Ovis aries: one gene and its partner. The protein of the gene in region 1 purifies or fractionates together with the protein of each later gene. This does not show direct contact. Links are inferred from orthologs where the notes say so. Each region holds a gene or a part of one and is shown in the gene's direction. Other genes may lie near its edges.

The links. The genes of interacting proteins can lie anywhere in the genome.
Region 2: the proteins of IRF7 (region 1) and TRIM21 purify together in Homo sapiens (affinity purification with mass spectrometry; 3 studies listed by BioGRID, with this or other methods). This does not show direct contact. The link is inferred for Ovis aries from reciprocal best matches to the Homo sapiens genes IRF7 and TRIM21.

What each region holds. Positions count from the first base shown.
Region 1 is NC_056074.1:47,072,900-47,077,824, forward strand, and holds the start of IRF7 (interferon regulatory factor 7), read left to right. Parts: upstream 1-1,874; 5' UTR 1,875-1,938; intron 1,939-2,234; 5' UTR 2,235-2,506; coding exon 2,507-2,526; intron 2,527-2,609; coding exon 2,610-2,772; intron 2,773-2,858; coding exon 2,859-3,066; intron 3,067-3,321; coding exon 3,322-3,380; intron 3,381-3,468; coding exon 3,469-3,646; intron 3,647-3,928; coding exon 3,929-4,456; intron 4,457-4,528; coding exon 4,529-4,647; intron 4,648-4,721; coding exon 4,722-4,889; 3' UTR 4,890-4,925. Other genes in the region: CDHR5 (cadherin-related family member 5), read left to right, coding at 325-744.
Region 2 is NC_056068.1:49,570,681-49,575,606, forward strand, and holds the start of TRIM21 (E3 ubiquitin-protein ligase TRIM21), read left to right. Parts: upstream 1-1,933; 5' UTR 1,934-2,636; intron 2,637-2,673; exon of another isoform or gene 2,674-2,805; intron 2,806-3,301; 5' UTR 3,302-3,337; coding exon 3,338-3,745; intron 3,746-4,237; coding exon 4,238-4,333; intron 4,334-4,926. UniProt on the Homo sapiens protein: E3 ubiquitin-protein ligase whose activity is dependent on E2 enzymes, UBE2D1, UBE2D2, UBE2E1 and UBE2E2.

The sequences.
Region 1 (4,925 bases):
GGCTCGGCGTGGGGGCAGGAGCTGCTCGCTGGGGGGTCCCGAGAGGGGTTGCAGAGTCAGAGATCAGCCGGAGACAGCGGGGCGGTGGAGAGGGAGCAGGATGGAGAGCCGGGCAGCGTGAGGCAGCGGGCAGCGTGGGAGACGGAGGGAGGCTGGTGGTCAGCGTGGGAGATAGGGTGCAGAGGCGAGGAGAGTGGGGTGGGGATGCCACAAAGACTAGGGAGCAGGGCGGAGGGGCAGAGCGCCCGGCCCCCCAGTGTCGGGGGGCAGGGTGGCCGAGCCCAGCTGGCCGCTGGCTGACTGCCGGCTCCTGCCCACCCCCAGAAGTCCCAGCCCCAAGGGTTTGACAACCAGGCTTTCCTCAACGACTCGGACAACGCCAACTGGGTGCCGGCGCCTAGCCCTTCACCCAGCCACGCCCTGCCGGCTCCCCAGGAGCCCGAGCCCCCGGAGCCCGCGCCACCCAGCCCTGAGACCCCGCGCGGGCTCTCAGAGGCCCCTGCCAAGGGCGCGGACGGGGGCAGCCCGGCGGCCGTGAGGTCCATCCTGACCAAGGAGCGGCGGCCTGAGGGCGGCTACAAGGCCGTGTGGTTCGGAGAGGACATCGGCGCCGAGGCCGACGTGGTGGTTCTCAACACGCCCGCCTCGGAAGTGGGCGGCGCTGGCGACTCTGGCAGCGAGGGCAGCGGCGACGAGGCTGCGGATGCCCAGGACGCGCTTGGTACCGACTCCATCCACTTCTAATGCCGCGTCCCCCGGAGTCGGGACCCCGAGAGTCGGCTTGGTGGCTGTCCCCACACTCCACGGCGCAGAATAAAATAACATTTTCGGTTCTGTGGGGACGTCTGCTGGCCGCCAGGGGAGCTGTGGGAGCCGCGAGGGGCGGGCGGTCTGGGCACTGCTTTGAGCTCTCGGCGCCGTTTCCCGGAAACCACCTGCTGCGCGAGGGGCTTCCCAGGGTTGGTGCCAGCTGGTGGCCAGGCAGTTCCTCTCCTGGTCTGACCGCGGCCGCCTCGACATGGAGATTCTTCGTCTGGGGGAAGCTGAGGAGCCACTTGGCCAGAAGCCCCCCTCCGGGACTCGTGTGGGAGGGCGTGGGCCCCGGGACCGCCCCGAGGGTCACACTGCTGCCCCTGTGGGCCGCAGGGAGGGCAGTAAGCGCTCTGGGGCTCTCGCGGAGGCACCCGGTCCAGGTGGCTGGACTGATTGGCGGCGGGGGGTGTGGCCCAGAACGACGGTGGCCACGAGCCTAGTGCGGCACGTGGGGCTGGTGGGTGCGCGGAACAGAGGCTATGGACGGACGGAACCCAGAGTCACGAAGCTGGGGCCCGAACCCCCTCCACTGGCTTCCTCGGGGCGGCCCTCAGGCAAGACTTCCGACCCCCCAGCACCACTACCGTTCTTCCCGGGTCGCCGGTGTTTTCCCATCCCTTCCCAAGTATTTTAATCTCGACAGTATTTGAATATTATTGCCTGAGGAACTGTCACTGGTTAAGAATCCAAAGAGCGCGGCCGCAGCCCCTCCCACGCACCCATCGCCCGCTCTTCCGCTCCGCGATGCGCCAGGTTTTGTTTCTGGAACCCTCGGCTTATCCCACGGCCTCTCCCGGGACGCTGGTTGCTGGCCCCAGGCCCCGCTGCGCTGGGTGAGCGAGGGGAGCGGCTGGGCCGCATCGGGGCTGGGTCCAGGGTTGCCAGGACCCCGGTGCCGCCTCCCGCCGCGGCCCAAGAGCGGGTCCTGCGCACCTGCGCTCGGCTCCGCTCCAGGCGCACGTGACTCCCTCCCCGGCACCTGGAGCTCCGCCCCGGCCCGGCCCCGCCCCCGGCCCCGCCCCGCCCCCGCCACCATAAAAGCGGTTGCTCGCGAGCCCCAGGGGATCAATCTCCCCACGAGTGACTCCGCGTCCTGAGGCTGGACGCGGCCCGAACCTGCGCCAGGTACTGGGGAGGCCCAACCCGGGAAGAACACGAGTGTGAGGCCTCGTCGGACTCCGGGGTCGATTCTCGGAGCAGTGACCAGGGAGCTCGGCGGAAGGCGCGGGTCCGGGACGCGCTTCGCAGAGCAGTGACCAGGCGGGGCGGGCTGCACGGATGACGGCGCGGGGCCCGGGTCTGGAACTCGGGGACCTGGACGGGGAGGTGGCGGTGACGCGCGGGGCGTGGCGGGTTAGGTTTCGTTTTTCCGCAACGCCGGGTTTCGTTTTCCTGCGGCCGTTCCCGTCGCGCCCCCGTAGGGCCCAGCCCGGACGCCGGCTCAAAACCTGTGACGCGTCGTGCGCGCACCGGCCGCGTCTGTAGCCACATCCAGCGCCGTCTTGGCCAGGACTCACCTCCGCAACGCCGTGACTGGAAGCCCGCATCTGTGACCCCCCAACACCCGGGACTAGCTGTGGAGACTCACAGACAACCTTCCTCTCCTGCGCCAACCCCCGACCGCCCCGAGACCCCAGCCCTCTGCGCGGAGGGCGTGCCACTGTCTCCAGGCCCAGCCTTTGCGGAGGGACCAATGGCCGAGGCTCCAGACCGGTGAGCCCGCCTCCCTGCCCGGTGCGGGCCCCACGCCCCCGGCGGCCCCCTTGCGCCCTGACACCTGGCTGCTCCGCCCGCAGGGGAACCCCGCGCGTGCTCTTCGGAGACTGGCTTCTGGGCGAGGTCAGCAGCGGCCGCTATGAGGGGCTACGGTGGCTGGACGCGGCCCGAACGCGCTTCCGCGTACCCTGGAAGCATTTCGCGCGGAAGGACCTGGGTGAAGCCGATTCGCGCATTTTTAAGGTGAGACCCCAGTTCTGCCCGGGCTGGGGAGGGCCGGCCCAGGTTCGCAAGTCCAGGCCACGTGCTCTACACTCTGTCTTTCTCAGGCCTGGGCCGTGGCCCGAGGCAGGTGGCCGCCCCGCAGCGGTGGAGGTGCCCGGCCGATCCCTGAGAGTGCGCTGCGGGCCTCCTGGAAAACCAACTTCCGCTGCGCTCTGCACAGCACGCAGCGCTTCGTGATGTTGGAAGACAACTCGGGGGACCCTACAGACCCTCATAAGGTGTACAAGATCAGCTCTGAGCCGGGGTGCCGAGGTGAGGAAGGCCGGGGTTTGGGGTGCTGCCGGCAGGGGGACTGTGCTGTGTCCTGGGAGTAGCTGCTAAGTCAGATTTTAGGTTTTAGAAACTGGTATGGGAGAAGCTGGTGCCAGTTAGGGGGGGTGGCAGCGCTGGAGTGAAGGGAGCCCGCTGGGGCTCCAAGGGGAAGCGCAGACCAGCTTCCGGGGGCAAGGGGGCGTTGACATCCAGGCGCCTCACTTCAGCGTTTCCCCAACCCTAATTCTCCCCCAGAAGGCCTAGGCTTTGACCAGGGGGAGGACGAGGCCCTAGAAGATGCCCCACCTGCAAGGGTAAGGCCGCTCTGCGTCCGGGGTTGAGGCCGCTCCCTCTCTGGGCCTGGGGGCAGCTCCTTTATGCTGGCGCTGTCCTCTTCTGCAGGGCGGGCTCCCGGGGCTATGCCTGGCAGCAGATACTGGTGAGTGCCTGGGGCACCGGCTGAACCCTGAACCCTGCCCCCCAAGCCTCGCTGGAGATGCTGGGGACATCTTGATCCAGGCTCTACAGCAGAGCTGCTTGGAGGATCATCTGCTGGATCTGATCTCCCCAGAGGCTCCTGGTGAGGGCCTCTTGCAGGGGGTGGGGAGTGCTCTACCCTGCAGGGACAGGCAAGACAGCAGAGTGCAGCCCAGGGGAGGGGGTGCTTGGCAGGGATGGTGCTGGTCACAGCTGGGCCAGTATAGCTGGGCCTCCGCAGGCCCAGAGCCCTCTGCTTGAGAGCTATACTTGCCACAGAGGTGGTGCCTCCAGCCTCAGGCCACAGCCCGAGGAGCCAGGGAACATTTGGCAAAGGGAGGACCTGGGGGCCCAGGTGTCAGCTCAGGCTTCTCTTCCTTTCCAGACGCAGGCCCACCCCCAGAGCCCTGGCAGCTCCCAGAGGCGGAGCCGCACGTGGGAGCCTCTGCCAGTGCCTGCGCGCCGACGGCAGGGGCGCCGCCCCTGGCTGGCCCTGGCTGCTCACAGCTTGGTCTGCAGCCAGAGCCCAGCCTAGGGGCCCTGGACTTGACCATCCTGTATAAAGGCCGGACAGTGCTGCAGGAGGTGGTGGGGCGTCCAAGCTGTGTGCTCCTGTACGGTCCTCCCGGCGTAGCTGGAGAGGCTCTGGGGCCCCAGCAGGTCGCCTTCCCCAGCCCCGCCGAGCTGCCCGACCAGAAGCAGCTCCACTACACAGAGAAGCTGCTTCAGCACGTGGGCCCCGGCCTGCAGCTGGAGCTCCGGGGGCCGCGGCTGTGGGCCCGGCGCCTGGGCAAGTGCAAAGTCTACTGGGAGGTGGGGGGCCCCCTGGGCTCAGCCAGCGCCTCCAGCCCCGCTCGCCTGCTGCCCCGGGACTGTGACACGCCCATCTTTGACTTCGGCACCTTCTTCCAAGGTCAGTGACACCCCTGCCCTTGGGCTGTGGGCCCTCCGTGCCCCGCCCCCTCACCAGAGCCCTGCTCCACAGAACTGGTGGAGTTCCGGGCCCGGCAGCGCCGCAGCTCCCCGCACTACACCATCTACCTGGGCTTCGGGCAGGACCTATCAGTGGGGAGGCCCAAGGAGAAGAGCCTGGTCCTGGTGAAGGTGAGGGGCCAGGTCCCCGGCCGGGGGGAGGCTGCACAGAGCCCCCACCCGGCCTGACAGCACCCTCCCTGCAGCTGGAGCCGTGGCTGTGCCGGGCGTACCTGGAGGCTGTGCAACGCGAAGGTGTGTCCTCCCTGGACAGTGGCAGCCTCAGCCTCTGCCTCTCCAGCTCTAACAGCCTCTACGAGGACCTGGAGCACTTCCTGGAGCACTTCATGATGGAGGTGGAACAGGCTGCCTAGGCCAGAACCCCAACCCCTCCCAATCCAATAAAAAGA
Region 2 (4,926 bases), on another chromosome or scaffold:
TGGCATCACCAATGCAAAGACCATGAACATGGGCAAACTTCAGGAGATGATGAGGGACAGGGAGGCCTGTCATGCATAGTCCAGGGGAGCTGCAAAGAGACAGACATAACTGGGAGACTAAACAACAACAATCAGGTAAATAAGATGACCCATCTTGTGGATGTTGATCAGCCTCTTCTCAGTCACCTGGTGCTTATTCAATGGACTCTTGTACAAGTGTCCGTATCAGTAGTGGTAAATGGATAAACCCGAGGAATCCATACTCAAGCAGCATTTGTATTCCTACTGCTATAGAAACCTGTACATATAAGACCAACTCTGAGCCTGATTTTTCCCTATTTCTAAGAGAATCTAGGCAGTCTTTTAGTGGCATGATAATGACATTGAACCAACAGCAATTTATCCTCACAAAATAGCTACTATACCAGAGACAGATTCATTTGCCATCTTATATTGCTTCTACCAGCACCACTGTTTTTCGATTTACAACATCAAGGTCTCCAACAACATCACTTACAACCAAGAAACTGATTTTACAGTCAAAAAATTCTGATAATGGGGTTGCACTATGGAATGCAGTGGTCTTACAATGTACATCATCAACCAGAAAAAGATGGTCCAATAAAAATATGAGATGCACTGCTGAAGGCTCAGGTATGGCAGCAGTTTGGAAACCCCACTCTATGATATAAGAATGTTGTACCATAAATTCTGGTGCACATCTAAGATCAACAACTAATAGGTGATGGTATTTTTTATAGCCATTATAAACACACTCTTCAGAGAATAAAGAAGGGAGGTGGTTGCAGCTCCTATTTCCCTCAAACTAGTAACTCATTTACAGATCATTTTCTTTCCATCCCCCAACACAGGGCTCAGCCTTGTTCTAAGGGTCTAGTAAAGAAAGAAGTTCTTCCACCAGAGTAAAAACTCTGATTCTTATAAATAGGAATTTGCCACTACTCCCTGGCTCTTTGAGGTTTCTTGTGCTTGCTGCTGCTGCTGCTGCTGCTAAGTCGCTTCACTCGTGTCCGACTCTGTGCGACCCCATAGACAGCAGCCCATCAAGCTGCCCCTGGGATTCTCCTGGCAAGAACACTGGAGTGGGTTGCCATTTCCTTCTCTGATGCATGAAAGTGAAAAGTGAAAGAAGTCGCTCAGTCGTGTCCGACCCTCAGCGACCCCATGGACTGCAGCCTTCCAGATTCCTCTGTCCCTCGTATTTTCCAGGCAAGAGTCCTGGAGTGGGGTGCCCTTGCCTTCTCCGTTCTTGTGCTTAGTGGCTCAGTTGTGTCCGACCCTTTGAGACTCCATGGACTGTGGTGAAGTATACAACTGTGAACGTATTTAATGCCACTGAACTACACACTTGAAAACGGTTAAGATGGTAAATGTTATACGTACTTCACCATAATTTAAAATAATAATAAAACAACCTGAGAAAGTCCCTGGCTCAAGGATAAGTACACAGTTGTTGCCTCAATAAATGTCAAGTCCCTTCTTACCACTCACTGGTGTGATAATGCGCTGAGGTACTGTGGAATAAATTGCTCTCCCCCTGATGTTAAAAGAATATCAAGTCTCCTGAAAAGGAATTGTTTTTGGAAATAGGGAACAGAAGATGGCCTTTAGAGGAGACCTCCAGGCACCCCTGTCCATCCAAACCTCCTTTAAAGCAGCTCCCACACGAGGGCACAGCACGTAGGCCTGCATGGCTCCTCCACGCAGCAGATACGATGCTTCACTCTATTACACAATGAGGACACGGGAGGGAACGCAAAGCAAGGACTAAAGGCTGCGGAGCTTTCGCTCGCCCCAGCCTCCCAGAAGCTCCAGACTCTGGCGGCACCTCAACCCCTCCGCCTTCCTCCTCCCTTGGCCCCGCCCACTCTCCTCCCGCTCTGCCCGCCTCCCTTTCAGATTTGCGGTGGACAAGGAATCGAAAGTGAAATAAGGAAACGGCTGCCATCCACTGCGTCTCTTGAAAAGGTGAGTGAACTTGGCTAGACCGAGGTACCCCAGCTCTCCCTAGGGGACCTCTCTCCCCTGCCCCAGGTCTGAAGTGCCTCATCCAAGCCGTCCCCACCCCTAGAGATTTCGATCTCAGGTTTTCTTTCGCAACAGGTCTCCCTCAACCTTAACCCAGCAGTTTTTCCCCTGCAGCCTGGGAGGAGGCTGGGCTGTAAACCTGACTGGGATGTCCCCTGGAAGGAGCTCGGATTGCTCTGCTTCCGCCGGCACCTGAGCTGGGAAGAAAAACCAGGGAAACTGGGAGAACCAGGATGGCAACCTAGCTCAGGGGTGGTCCGGGAGCCCGGTGTGGGGGTAGGTCCGCGATCCCTGAGACTGCTGTCCCCAAAAGGCTCCCTCTGGAGGTGAGAGAGACAGGGTTGCTTAGGATATTAGAAAACTATGGGTCTGCGCCCTAGAAGAAACAAAGGCGGGGCCAGGTTCAGGGTAGCTGAGAGAAGAGCCCAGGAAGTTCTTAATAAACCTCACGCTTCTGTGTGTATGCACATACATATATACACACATATACATATGCGTGTGTGTGTGTGCTCAGTCGTGTCTGACTCTTTGCGACCCCATGGACTGTATGTAGGCCGCCAGGCTCCTCTGTCCACGGGATTTCCCAGGTAAGATACTGAAGTGGGTTGCCATTTCCTTCCCCAGGGGATCTTCCCAACTCAGGGATCAAACCTGCTGTCTCCTGTGTCTCCTGCATTAGCAGGTGGATTCTTTGCCACTTGCACCACCTAGGAAGCCCATGTACTTACGGATATACGTGTATCCTTATGAAAATATGTAAGCATAAATATAAATATTCTTATATATATTCATGTTACCGATGATTAGATAGATACCAATAACTCCTGCCTATTGCAAAGATTAATGAGAATGTATGTGAAGCATGTAGCACCTGGCACATGGAACGAGCACAGTCAATGGTCGCTACTGTTAAGATTAGCTTCTCAACAGAGTAGAAAACCAGTGGCCTGAGGCAGAAGATCAATAGGTAAAGCCTGGACTCTGAGCGGTTAAGCAGAGATGAACATGATGAAAGTCGAATTGTAAGCAGCTGTCTCTCAGGTTCTCAACAATATTTGCTATCTCTTGGGGACTCAGTGTCCCCTTCTGTCTGACTGGATCAGTGACCCAGACTATGGAAGAGGAGCACTATTCAGGTTGAGGTCCTTGTCTTTTCTTGTTTTCACTCCCTCCAGTTCACCCTCTCTCGTGGTTCCCTTTTCTTACCTGGCTCTTCTCTTCCGTCCCTTTCCTCTTCTCCCCTCACCGCAAGATCTCCCCAGCACTACCGAAGAGGAGCATCACCCCAATGGCTTCAGCCGTACCCTTGACAATGATGTGGGAGGAGGTCACGTGCTCTATCTGCCTGGATCCCATGGTGGAGCCTATGAGCATTGAATGTGGTCATAGCTTCTGCCAGGAGTGCATCTCTGAGGTCGGGAAAGAAGGAGGTAGCGTCTGTCCTGTGTGCCGGCGCCACTTCCTGCTCCAGAATCTCCGGCCCAATCGACAGGTAGCCAACATGGTGGACAACCTTAGGAAAATCAGCCAGGGTGCCAAGGAGGGCCCACACGGGGAGCTGTGTGTGGTGCACAGAGAGAAAATTCACCTCTTCTGTGAGGCAGATGGGAAGGCCCTTTGCTGGGTGTGTTCCCAGTCCCAGAAACACCGTGATCATCCCATGGTCCCTATTGAGGAGGCTGCTCAGGAGTACCAGGTGAGTCCTCAGCACAGAGGCAGGAACAGGTAAAAAGGAGATGGGGCCCTGTTGATGGCTTTGTTCCCCAGAGCTGGAAATGGGAGAGAGTTACCTGTGGGGCTGGGGAAAGAATAGGGGTCTCCTGCCTTCTATGTCTTATTTAAGGGGGAAATGGCAAGCTCAGCACAGTTTTCTCATTCTCACAGAGCAGGGATGTGCTATGGGAAAATGCTTCAAGAATCTTCTTCCCTTGTGGCCTCCTGCTTAATTAGGAACAAGCAGTGCCCCCACCCTTTGTACACCAACCGTGTGGCCCTATTTTGTAAGAAATATCAGGCTTTTTCCAAAACCTTCCCATCCACAGAGTTCCTACCCCAAACAGACTCTAGTCCTTCCTTGTCCTCTGCACTCAGCCTCTTCTAAGAACCAGTATGATCTTCCCCCCACTTCACACCACTGCACCCTACTTCTTGACCTGACTGGGTATCATCTTGCTTTCGTTCTCTGCAGGAAAAGCTTCAGGTGGCACTAAAGAAACTAAGAGATAAGCAGGAGATGGCTGAGAAGCTGGAATTGGACATTGCAATGAAGAAAGCATCCTTTAAGGCAAGAGTCATATCCTGAAGGGAATCTTAGATCTGAAGCCTGGGGAGGGTCCAGCTATGCCAGTCCCTATATCTCACTCCCCAAGAACCAGCTGCCCCATAGGTCTCTTGATGGAGGGGATTAAAAGAGTGTGGAGATCAAAAAGAGCTCCCAGTCAGATGGAGAGAGAGTCTTAGGAAAAGGTGCTGAGGGACAAGATATATTCTAATGCTCCTGCTTCTTGAGCCCAGTCTCTGGAGATGACAGCCCAGTCTCTGGAGATGGCCTCAGAGTTTGGGACAGGGGAATGCCAGGAGAGATGCCCAATGTCAAGAAATGACAAGTTGTCAAGAAATGACAGTGACTATGAGAACCAGATTTAAGTGAACCATAAAGGCCTAAGATGGGCTTCCCTAGTGGCTCAGATGGTAAAGAATCTGCCTGCAGTATTGGAGACCTGGGTTCAGTCCCTGGATTGGGAAGATCCCCTGAAGAAGGGAATGGCTACCCACTCCAGTATTCTTGCCTGGAGAATCCCATGGACAAAGGAGCCTGGCGGGCTACAGCCCATAGATTCACAGAGTCGGACATGACTGAGCAACTAACGCTTTCAC